Ovis aries: one gene and its partners. The protein of the gene in region 1 purifies or fractionates together with the protein of each later gene. This does not show direct contact. Links are inferred from orthologs where the notes say so. Each region holds a gene or a part of one and is shown on either strand. Other genes may lie near its edges. The genes, in order: BAG3, DNAJB6 and PDLIM7.

Region 1 (4,185 bases):
ATCAAAGCACAGTCTTGAAAGCCATGAAGCCCACAGAGCTAACGAAGTGAATGTTAGTTTTCTCCTTATGTTCTAGTGCCACGTTGAGAAATCTCAATTAATTTGGTAAGCAGCTCTTTTTTTGAGTTGATCACATCCAGCCATCACCATCCAAGTAGTCACAAAAGTCAGAAGGGCAGAAAAACAATCAAGTACTCCAGCCTTCCCAGTTCACACTTAAATTTCATAGAAATTTAAGAAATTTAAGACTCTTCTACCTTCCTCTGAACAATAAACTGCCTCTTAAATAGGACTTTCCGGTGTAGGTCTCTCTTTGCTATTGGTCCTGGCTGAATGGCCTTTGGAAACACATGTGAACTCTCTGGGTTTCTTTCTCAGAAAAAGAGAGGCTGAGCTAAAAGATCTTAAACGATCTTTCAACTTTAAAATTCTGTTAAATTTTCAAATCAACTTTTATGGCATCAAACTTCTGATTTACTAGCTCTTATGTTCTACTTGTTGAGAAAAATAACAGTAACTTAACCTGTTCCCCCCGCCCCCTTGCCTTGAAAAAGTTTGTAAAACCACAGCCTAACCATCCATCATACATAAGATCTCAACCTGCTGGGTGAGTTTCACGTTGAAAACCAAGCGCCAACAATGTGGCATGTACACTGAACTCACAGTGGATACGTTCCTACTTGACCTACACTCACCACCACTGACGCCAGTGGATTCTGACTCTTCCTGTCTCTATAGGAAGGAAGCCTCAAAAAGACAGGTTGGTTTTTTTTTTGGCCTCAGTAAAGATCTACACCCTTGCAGTCTGCAGTAACAGAGCTGGTTTAAAATGAGCTTTAGTTTCACTCAATAATGGGCTGAACAGACAAGCGAAAGGAATACATGGTTATGTCGATCCCAGCTAATTACAGCCTCTTGAAATAATTTTCAGGAATAAATATACAATTAATTTCTCATAAGCATAAGCTGCTGATTATACAATATCTCACTGTTGGGCACCAGAGTTTCATAAATATTTTAAAGGAAAAAGCTGCATAAAACTGAAGATGGTTAACACAGATTTTTTTCTTCTAAAACAATGGTTTATAAAACATTTTTAATTCTGTGAATTTTTAAATCTTAAAAATAACTTACCAGCTCTTTATGTCTTCTATTTTGCCCAGACTATTTCTTTTTGCCAAGCTTTACGTTTTGAAAAAGCTCAAAGTTATAAAAATTACAAGAGCAGTACAATTAGTTATAATTTTTTAAATTAACAGACTCATTCCAAGTTTATATTTTCAAATTTTCATGGTTCTAAGGATTAAGTAGTATATACACCCCTGCGTATATGTAAATGAGGCATACTTCTAATACAAAAGTATTACTACTAAATTATTTGTGTATTGGGGATAAGAAAAAATCCTAAATATTTTAGTAGCATAACGAGAAAGGGAATGTGTTGATTTTTTTTTTTTTTTAATCTCTTTCTGACCAGGGTGAGGCAGTATCTAAGGCAATAGTCAACTAGGAGACAGTCTCACATCTTCAGTTTAGAAATTGCCTGGAAGATTGCATCTTATTTTTAACAAGTCATACTAGAATATATTCCTAGTGAGGACAACTTTCAAACAATAATAGAGTTTTAATTTCAAATACAGAAGGGAAAAAATAAAGAAAAGGAATGCATTTACATCAGTCTCCTGAGTCACTCTGTGCCTGAGGTGGGAGAGTGAACTCCAGATACCCTCAACCAAGTTTAGGAACTTGAGGATGTAAAATTCCTAAGAGACCCTAAAGGACCCCCACAGAAGCTTGCCAACGGTCCCCTGGCGTCTGCCAAAGCACGGTCAGCAGAGAGAAAGGAGGATCTGAGCCCTGGAAGCCGGGTGGAGACCGTGGCAGGGCCTGGCCCGGGCCTTGGTGCTGAGCAGGCCGGCCACCCGTCGTCTCCTGGCCCAGGGCCCCTCGAATGGAGCCGGTGGACGGGACCTGGTGCCACCGCGCGGGTCCCGCTTCCCGCCCGACCCCCGGAAACCAAACACGGCCAAGGGAGGGCAGTCCTCTTGGGAAGCTCCCCAAACTGGCCCAGACGCCGGCCAAGGGCGGGCCTGGAGAGTGGGCTCGTGGGGGGCGCAGCAGGCCGACCCCCCTGGGAGCTGGCGTCCTTCTGGGGATCCGTGCATTCCAGGCGGCCTTCACTGACCTCCGAGGCACCGGCTGCGGCCGGCGGGCACCTGGCGCCTTGCGTCCCCGCAGCCGGGCCCAGTCCAGCCGCCCCCGCCCGGCCCTGTCCCTAGACTGGCCGTCGATGGGGGGCTGGGGGGAAGGTGGAGGGGGAGCCACTGGCAAGGGTGCGGCGCGGGCCTTGCTCACCTTGGGGCCCTCGGGGGGCACGCGCGGGTCGTTCCACGTCGTGGTGCGGTTGTTGTGGTCCACGAAGAAAGGCCAGCCGGTCTGCGGGTCGATCTTGATCTCCCAGCCGGGGGGCAGGGGGTCGCGGTCGCTGGCGCCGTTGCCGGACGCCATCTGCACCATGGGCGAGTGGGTGGCTGCGCTCATGCTGGGTCGGGGTCGGCCCGGAGGGGCGGCCGCCGGGGTGCTGGGTTGCAGGGTGCCTGGTCGCGGGGTGCCGGGTCACGGGGTCGCGGGGTGCCGGACCTCCAGGTGTAGGGTCGCTCGCTGGCCGCTGCCGGAGCGGAAAGTCGGGAGCGCCGCCGACGTGTCCGGGAAGCCGGCGCCGGGCACCTTTATGAATTAAAGGAGGGGGTGACGTGGCCGGAGAGGGCTGGAAGTGTCTGGAAATAGCCTCCTCGCTGCCAAAGGGGAAGGAGGAGATAAAGGGAGGTAGCAACTGGCCGGCTAGAAACTTCTGGTCCCATCCAGAGAAGTTGGCGGCGACGCGGGTTGGATGCGGAGCTCCGCCCTGAGTCATCAGCTATAATCGGGGCGGGGCGGGGCGTGGGCGGGGCGTGGGCGGGGCCTCCGCCGGCCGCCCCTCCTCCACCCCGCCACCTCTTCCCCCTATTCGCGGCTCCCCGGGTCGGGGGCTCCTGGCGGAGTCTTCCCTGAGCTGGGCGAGGGGTTTGCATCCGCGGGATCCCTGTGTCGCCGAGCGGCAGGTCGAGCGAACCCCCGGGGACGTCATCTGTGTGTCCTGGGCCGGTTTCGGTTTTCAGATTTGCTTGGTCTTCTTCGAGCCGCGTGGGTGTTCCCGGGACTGGCTCCTTCGTGTAAAAACAAACTCATCGTTAGCCTTTTAAGTCGTTGGGGATTAAACTAGAGTCTCTCCCACCTCGCCTTTGTACCCCCAGATTACTGATACTCCGGGACATTGGTGACCCTCAGTTAATCACTTTTCCCCATGGGCTTAAGGGCCGTCCGGAAAGGGCTCTGGAATGTTGATCCGACACCAGAAGCAAGCCAGGGCGAATAATGGAAGTACAAATAGAAATTCACCTGCCTTTCTTTCGAATCCTAAAGAAAGATTGCATCAGCGCATGCATGTTGCTGAAGCACATGTCTTAAACGTAGACTCTGTCGTTGCAGTGAAGAACTTTAAAGAAAAAACATTCTTTGGGGTTTGGGGCTTGTTGATGGTGCAAGTTGGTTCTTGCTATCTTAATCTGACCTTCATTTGGAAAGTAGTGTAAATCATGCGTGCTCAGTCACCTCCGACTCTTAGCGACCCTGTGGAGCCTGCCAGGCACCTCTGTCCAGGGAATAATACAGGAGTGGGTTGCCATTTCCCTCTCCAGGGGATCTTCCCGACCTAGGGATCAAACCCATGTTTCTTGCACTGCAGGCGGATTCTTTACCCACTGAGCCACCTGGGAAGCCCTTTGAAAAGTAGGAAAGAATACAAATTATGAAAAAAAATTTGTGTAATGAAATGGTGGTTGCACTTGTAACCTCCACCAAGCACCTCATTTCCTCTGGGAGAGAGAGAGAAAGTATGCCCCCAGAGGTGGTATGTTGGGAGGTCTCATTTTAGATTTTTAGGCCTGCAGGATCATTCCCTTCCCCAGAAACATTTTTGAGAAGATGCCTTGGGCTAAGTAATATTGGGCCCAATATTCCAACTCAAATGCAGAGGACATTCTGGAACCCTCAGAAACACTTTTTTGGAGTCTCTTCCCACCCCCAAATTACTCCTTTTAGAGCAAATGCTGAAGAGAACTGCCAATCATTTTCAATGGAATGGGG
Region 2 (3,509 bases), on another chromosome or scaffold:
GTGAGGGGCCACCTGTCCCTCCACCTCGTGGCCAGCTGTGGTCAGCCTGGCGACTTCCGGCCCTGAGAACCAAAGTGATCGCTGAGAACTGAGGAACAACCCCAACTATCGATTCCCGACGCCTGGCTCCAGACTCAGCCAGGTCCAGCCTGCACAGAGCCGTGCCCTCAGACGTGATACAGAACCTTCTATGAGGACCGCAGTTCACAGACCCCCATGGGCCCCCCAAGATAACGGCGGGTCAAGAAGCTGAAATAGGGCGGGACAGGGCCCGTGTGATCCCGGGCAGGAGCCCTCCACTGGAGGAGGGGGGGGCCAGGTCGGCACCCGGGACCCAGCGAGAGGGCCCCCAGGGGCAGGGGGCCCCAAGGCCGCGCGCATGATCAGCACGAGGGCGGGAAGCGGGGTCAAGCGGCTGACGGAGGGCTCCTGGGGGCAGGCTGTGCCCGCAGGCTCTGCCAAGTCAACACACACATGCGGTGCTGGGAGCCTGGCGCCCGTTTAATGTGGCCGCGCACGGCCGCCCCCACCCACCCGTCAGGCCAGCACGCAGCAGCACAGGAGGCGTCTCGGTCCTCGGGAGCCCCGCGGCGGCCGGGGGGCGGGGTCCCGGTGCACACCTGCGCAGAAGGCGCCCGGCGCGTCCTCGTCCTCCCCCGCGGCGTGCGCTGCCGGCCGGGGCGGGGGCGCGGGCCGCGGCGGCCGCAGCGAGCGGGCGCTGGAGCTGGCGGGCTGGGCGGGCAGCGCGCTCTGGCCTCGTCGCAGGCACTCCTCCGCGAAGGCGTCCTCGTCGGCCACACCTGAAAGCAGAGGGCGAGACGCGCGTGAGCCGGGCCGGGGCCGCGTCCTCGCGCCTGCGGGGCCGGAGCTGAGCCTCGCGGAGAGAAAGGGGGGACCAGGCTGGGCCTCGCCGGGCCCCGGGCTCAAGGATCCCGAAAGCCCCCCGTTGGCCCCGGGGCAACAGCGGGGCCGTGCTGCACGGGCATCGCCCCGGGGAGAGGGCAGGGCCGGCCGTGGGCCCTGCCGCGATGGAGGCAGCAGACTCCCCGCGTCCCCCGCGCAGGCCGGAGCGCCGCTGGAGCTCTGAGCCGAGGACCCGCACACTCGGTCACTTGTCACACCAGACAAACGGCCGAGGCCGTGCCTCCGCGCTCAGGGGTTGTGTTTCTATCAGTCTTTTCGAAAATGGGAGGAAGTTCTGCATATGATGCGAACACCAGGAACACCAGAAAGAAACAAGTGGCAGCCACCACCGAGCGACTTCCGGCTTCCTTCTCTGCAGTCACAGCGCCCTACGCGAGGGCACGCTGCCAGCAGCCCAGAAACGTGGGAAATGGGGACCCCGGGTGGTGGGGGCATGGGGTCATGCACGCCAGTGCCCCCTCAGCTGCCCCGCCCACCGCAGACCCCACTCCAGTCCCGCTGCCCCCTGGGGAGGACAAGATGACCGCTATGCTCCCGAGATGAAAGCCCTGCTCTGCCCTGGTAACCGGGCCCCAGGCCCCAGGCTCGGTGCTGTGCTGGGGCGCGGGGCCTCGCCTCTGTCCTCTCCAGACACGCCTCCTCCCCAAACCCCACACCTGCCCTGGCCAAGGAGTCCTCCTCCAGGAGCACAGGCGCTCACCCTCCAGGCGCAGCTGACTCTGGGGAGCCCAGACCCGGGGCCTGCGCCTCCAGGGCTCCTGAGCGGGCGCCGCGCCCTGCGAAGCCTCTGCCCGCCCTGCAGGCCTGGCAGGCGCCCTGGGGCGGGCCGCCACCAGCCTCATGGTCCCCTCCAGCAACACACACGCAGGCCTGGCAGCAGGGAGGGGTACCTGGTGGTCAGCGTGGGGCCCTGGCCACTCTCACAGCAGACATCCACCCCGAGGGGCGCTGGCTGAGGAAGCAAGCCGGGCTGTGACCCTTACTCCCGGCCCCCCGCCTGCACAGGGCTGCCTCACCACCCCCGAGGGGTCACCAGCACCACGGGGACACGGGCTGTGTGCGTGAACAGAGCGCCTCTGGGACACGACCGTCTGCGGGAGGAAAGTGCGTGAGTGCAGGGGCGCGAGGCGGAGCAGGGCTGGGAGCTCCCAGGGGCCTACGGGTTGTGGGGTCCAGCACACAGACACAGGCATGACCCCCAAATACACGGAACACTCCGGGGGAGGGGGCCCCAGAGCCACAGCTAATACATGACCGTGACGGTGACGCGACCTCCAATCCGCAGGACGCAAGTGGGGAGGGTGGGCGGCCCAACCCTGCCGCCGAGGGTCAACCTCAGGCCCACACTGGGCTCCCGTCCACCCGGCAGGAAGCAGCCGGCTGACCACTCCCGGGGGCTTCAACGTGCTTTTGCAGGGACACCGCGCCGCCAGGTGGGGCCCAAGTGTCCAGGTGCTAGACAGGCTCACTGTGGGCAGCCACGTGCCCACAACGGCCTGGATGTGGAAGGGTGGGCATCCTGGGGGTCAGCCTGCTGCCGGTACCCACCTCGGGTCACCTCAGAACCCCAGGGCCCATCAGCTGTGCAGGAGAGGCGGGGCTCCCCCAGCCCCGTCCCGCTCAGGGAAACCCCCGGCGCGTCCGTGTGAGGGTGAGGCCAGCCCACCAGGCTGTGCGCGGGATGCCCCTCTGCTCTGGAAGGGCTCCAGGGGCGCGAGCGCACAGACAGGGGCCCCGTGGGAGCCGCAGAGCCCCTCCCGGCCCCAGCACCTCCTCAGTCCTCGGGGCTGCACCTGCCGTCTGTCTGGGCACGAAGCTCTCTGGAGACACCAGGCCCGCCGTGTGGGGCACACAGGACGCCAGGCTTCCACTCCACTGCGGGGGAGAGGGTTCGGTCCCTGGTTAGGGAACTAAGATCCCGTGTGCCCCGTGGCATATAAATAAAATGAAAAACATGTTTAAGTTCGACAGCTGCTCTTATTTTACAAAAGCACACAGCACAGAGCTCGGGGCTCGGGGCCTGGCGATCCCCCCGAAGACTGGGGCCCACTGTAGGCCAAGGGGGGACCCTCCTGGGCCCCAGGGTCCTCTCGGCATGCAGACGGCCGTCTACCCCCGACCAGGGCGCACACGCACCCGTGAGGCTGGAACCAAGGGCAGCTCGTGCACTCTCACGCGGGGTGGCCCCTCCCACACCCCCGGGCCACACCCAGCTCGGCGAGGGGCCCGTGCTGTGCTGTGCTGACCCGGCACCCGCCCTGGCTCACAGCCGACTCCTGGCACCCTCCCGCCTCCTGCCTGCCGCCATGAAGCCCTCTCTCTAACGAGCACCAGGCCACAGGGTCTTTGAACCGGGCATCGTCCAGGGATGACGGAGGGGGCGTGGCCTCTGGGAGCCCCTGATAAGCAGTGGTACCTGCACGGCTGGGCTCTTCACGTCGCACAAGCCGGCCCCCCGCAGCGCCAGGAGCCCCGAGGCCCTGGGTCTGGAGCAGCGTGATCACGTCGCTGACCCCACAAGGTTCCCCTAAAATCCCGCCTGTGTCAGGCACCAGGAGAGGGTCCTCTGCAGGGCGGAGGGTGGG
Region 3 (3,642 bases), on another chromosome or scaffold:
TGATTCAGGCAAGGCCACCAGATCCCGTTCCAGAGGTGGGTGTCACCCAGGCCTGGCCAACTAGAGTCACAGGGCTTGATTCAGAGATGGGCATGTGAAGCAAGCCAGGCCAACGAGCATCAGCACTGGGACTCGATGCATCAGCTGGCACAGGGGTGCTCTCTTTCTCTGCAGTGCTAACCTGGGAGATGCAACCCTGGAGCCACTGATGTAGCAGCATCTTGCCGCTTTCTATGGAAATGCAAGCTGGGAACAAAGCCAACACAGATGAAACCAGAGGCAAGTGCAAGACTCCTGACGACCTGGATCTGCATTCAGCTGGGCCAGAAGTTAGCAGCCCTCAGCCTTTCTGACTACTGGCGCCAAATCTCTCCTGCTTGAGCCCTTTAGAGTTAGGATTTAAGTCACCTGTAAAGACAATCCTGGCTAATGTAAAGTAAGGTCAATATAGTAGCCCAATTATGAGGCTGGTAAGGTTCCAACAGGGTCCTGCAGGGAGAGCCCCCCAGCCCAGGAGCTGCTCAACACTCCTCAACGCTGAAGAGTCAGGCTTGCCCTCCCAGCACCCCCGCCAGCTGCCAGCCCCACTCACGCCGGTGATTTTCTTCTTGCACTTGGCACAACTGGGTGCATAGCGCACATCGTAGCAGGGTGGGCAGAAGATGGCCCCCTTCTCCTCGAAGAAGCCACCCTCTTCCAGAACCTTCCCACACTGGCTGCACACAAACTCCTCAGGGTGGTACGCGTGGCCCAGCGCCACCAGGTAGCGGCCCCTGCAGGCGAAAGAGAGGGCAATGAGTGGGAGTGGGTGCAAATGAAGTCGGGGTTCCTGGCCAGCACCCCACAGGGTTTACCCCACACCCATTATGAAACCTTGAAGGGAACATTCATTCTCTTCATCTCCAAACAGGGAAGCTGCTGCTGCTGCTGCTAAGTCGCTTCAGTCGTGTCCGACTCTGTGCGACCCCATAGACAGCAGCCCACCAGTCTCCCCCATCCCTGGAATTCTCCAGGCAAGAACACTGGAGTGGGTTGCCATTTTCTTCTCCAATGCATGAAAGTGAAAAGTGAAAGTGAAGTTGCTCAGTTATGTCCAACTCGTAGTGACCCCATGGACTGCAGCCTACCAGGCTCCTCCATCCATGGGATTTTCCAGGCAAGAGTACTGGAGTGGAGTGCCACTGCCTTCTCCAAAGAGGGAACAGACAGGCTTGAAAGGTGACTTGCCTAAGATCAAACAGCAAGACAAAGCTGACTATTGTGGGACTTCCCTGGTGGTGCAATGGTTAACAATTTGCCTCCCAAGACAGGGGACACGGGTTCAATCCCTAGTTGAGGAACTAACATCCCACATGCCTCCGGGCGACTGAGCTCATGTGCCACAATTAGAGAGCACGTGCATTGCGACTAAGGTTCCACGTGCTGCAACTAAGATCAGAGGCACCCAAATAAATATTTTAAAAAGCTGCACTGTTTTGATGACAGGAGGTGAGGGAGAAGGGTAGTGTCAGGAAAGGGAGGAAGGTGACACTGGGTGAAGACTGCTGACTTGAGCCTAATAAGTTGAACCCAAGGGGTTGGTGTCCTGGGGGACAGCAGGCCTGGAGTACCTGCGAGCCCTGAAGACCAGTGGGTACTTGAGCTGAGCCTGGTGCCCACTCTGTTCCGCTGGCCTGTTCCATCCATGCTGGAGAGGGACCCGGCCATCCCAGATAAATGGGGATGTCTGAACGAGGGGGTGCTTTCCAGAGCTTAAGAGCTGACAGGAGTTGACAGCAGGGCAGTGCCTCGTATGAGAACTAGGAAGGTTCTGGGGCCTGACACAGATCCGATTCTGGGGGCTGTGGGACTCTGCTGGGCCCTGGGGAGCAGCGCAGAGAGGGAGGAACTTGAGAGGCTTAGCAGAGAGAAACCAAGTGAGCAGGAAGGAGAAAGGCAGAGGGGCTGGGAGCAGGGAGGCCATTCCTGGCCCAGAGAGCAGCGAGTCTAGGGCTGCAGCTTGGCTATGTCGTTGGCAACCCCTCCATTTTGCCAGGCCAAATGTTGAAGAGAGGCTGAGCAGGGGGCAGCTGAGATGAGTAGGGAGACAGATGGGAGGAGCAGTGGTCAGAAAGGGCTGGAGTTCCAGTTCAGGAAAAGACCAGGGTAGGAAGGAACGGGGCCACCCACCGGATGACCTTGTGGCACTGGTGGCACACGGGAGTCTTGCCGTTGCTGCCCCCGCCCCCGCCATGGCCCCCTCCAGCGGCGGCCTGCACGATGGAGGTGCGGTTCTGCATAGGCGTGGGTGTGGCTGGCTGGGTGTGCCGGGTCAGCACCGTGCTGGTCTTGTCCGGGGCATAGCGCTCAGCAAATGCAGGGTCCACAGCCCAGGGTGGGCGGCTCGTGGGACTGGGGGTGGTAGGGCCTGCCAAGGCCAGGAAAAGTGGCTCCATGGGGGTGCCCAGGGACACCACAGGACAGTGGGGAGAGCCTGGGGCAGCTTGGAGGGGCCCGACCCCCATGCCTCTGGAGGTTACCCGCCCTTCCCCATCAAGCCCACGCTCTCTCACCAGGCCAGGGTTCCTGGGGTGTAGCTGAGGCTGGGGTTGGGGCTTCCGTCCTGGGCACCTGGCTGTAAGATCTGTCATTCAAGGCCCTGCACGGCCGAGGCTCCTGGCATGGCCCCACCCCCCAAACTTGGTCCTGCTGGCCCCATGAGAGATGCCTGGGTGCATGACAGCAGAGGACTCCAGGTCCCCCCAGGGCAGGGATGGGTAGGGCAATTTCTCCTGGCCAGGTTCCAGCTGGCTGGTCTGTCGCACAGGGCTGGGAGGTGAAGCAGGGCTCTCACTTCTGGGGCCGCTCGCGAGGGTCCTTCTGATGGCAGGGGGCCCTTTGCTGAGTACCCCCACCCACTGAGACCCATACTGGCAGGGCCCACACTGGATCTGAACCATCTAACACCCCTGACCCCAAATGCAAACCAAGTCCACAAAGATAAGAGAACAGAGGCAGAGAAAGCAGGGCTGAGAATGTTTATTTTCATGCCCCAAAAGCCAGCACAGACCTGGCAGACAGCAGTACCACAGGGCAAAGAGTAAAGGCAGTGGTGTCAGATGGAGCCGGGCCCTGTGCCAGGAGGGCAGCTGGGGCCAGGACAGCAGGAGGCTCAGTCCAGGGGCAGAAAAAGGATGGGTGAGGCAGGCAGAAGCTGGAGGCGCCAAGGGGAGGTGCCCTGGGGCGGAGGAACAGCAAGAAAGAGGCAGAGAGGGCAGCCGGCTGGTGAGGACCAGGCTACGACTGCACGTTGAGCACATGGGCAGAGCGCTGGTGGTGCCAGTCCCGGAGGCGGGTGTAGCGTGGGCTCTGCAGCTCCAGGACATACTTTTCCCTGAGGGGTAGAGAGAGAAGGAGAAGGAAGTGGAAGGAAGGAGAGACGGAAGGGAGGCAGGGAGGGAGGACCAGAGGAAGGAAGGAGAACGGATGAACCTGGCTAGGGATGGCCAGGAGCAGACAGGGCTGGAATGGGAGAGGCCGGAGATGAGAAGGAGGGGCTGCAGCTTGACCTGTTACCTTGATTTCTTCAGGTGCTCCTCATCCGGGTCTTGCACTGAGAGGGCAGAGGCAGGCATTGACCAAGAGCAGACAGAAGGCCACCCC

The links.
Region 2: the proteins of BAG3 (region 1) and DNAJB6 purify together in Homo sapiens (co-immunoprecipitation; 3 studies listed by BioGRID and IntAct, with this or other methods). This does not show direct contact. The link is inferred for Ovis aries from reciprocal best matches to the Homo sapiens genes BAG3 and DNAJB6.
Region 3: the proteins of BAG3 (region 1) and PDLIM7 purify together in Homo sapiens (affinity purification with mass spectrometry; 3 studies listed by BioGRID and IntAct, counting the BioPlex papers as one, with this or other methods). This does not show direct contact. The link is inferred for Ovis aries from reciprocal best matches to the Homo sapiens genes BAG3 and PDLIM7.

The regions. Positions count from the first base shown.
Region 1 is NC_056075.1:39,287,762-39,291,946, reverse strand, and holds the start of BAG3 (BAG family molecular chaperone regulator 3), read right to left. Parts: upstream 2,895-4,185; 5' UTR 2,542-2,894; coding exon 2,356-2,541; intron 1-2,355. UniProt on the Homo sapiens protein: Co-chaperone and adapter protein that connects different classes of molecular chaperones including heat shock proteins 70 (HSP70s), e.g. HSPA1A/HSP70 or HSPA8/HSC70, and small heat shock proteins (sHSPs), e.g. HSPB8.
Region 2 is NC_056057.1:120,238,302-120,241,810, reverse strand, and holds part of DNAJB6 (dnaJ homolog subfamily B member 6), read right to left. Parts: intron 2,800-3,509; coding exon of another isoform or gene 2,699-2,799; exon of another isoform or gene 1,237-2,698; intron 801-1,236; coding exon 621-800; coding exon of another isoform or gene 538-620; exon of another isoform or gene 535-537; intron 1-534. UniProt on the Homo sapiens protein: Has a stimulatory effect on the ATPase activity of HSP70 in a dose-dependent and time-dependent manner and hence acts as a co-chaperone of HSP70. Plays an indispensable role in the organization of KRT8/KRT18 filaments.
Region 3 is NC_056058.1:36,691,242-36,694,883, forward strand, and holds part of PDLIM7 (PDZ and LIM domain protein 7), read right to left. Parts: intron 3,593-3,642; coding exon 3,556-3,592; intron 3,374-3,555; coding exon of another isoform or gene 3,277-3,373; exon of another isoform or gene 3,003-3,276; intron 2,624-3,002; coding exon 2,553-2,623; intron 2,408-2,552; coding exon 2,170-2,407; intron 774-2,169; coding exon 593-773; intron 1-592. UniProt on the Homo sapiens protein: May function as a scaffold on which the coordinated assembly of proteins can occur. May play a role as an adapter that, via its PDZ domain, localizes LIM-binding proteins to actin filaments of both skeletal muscle and nonmuscle tissues.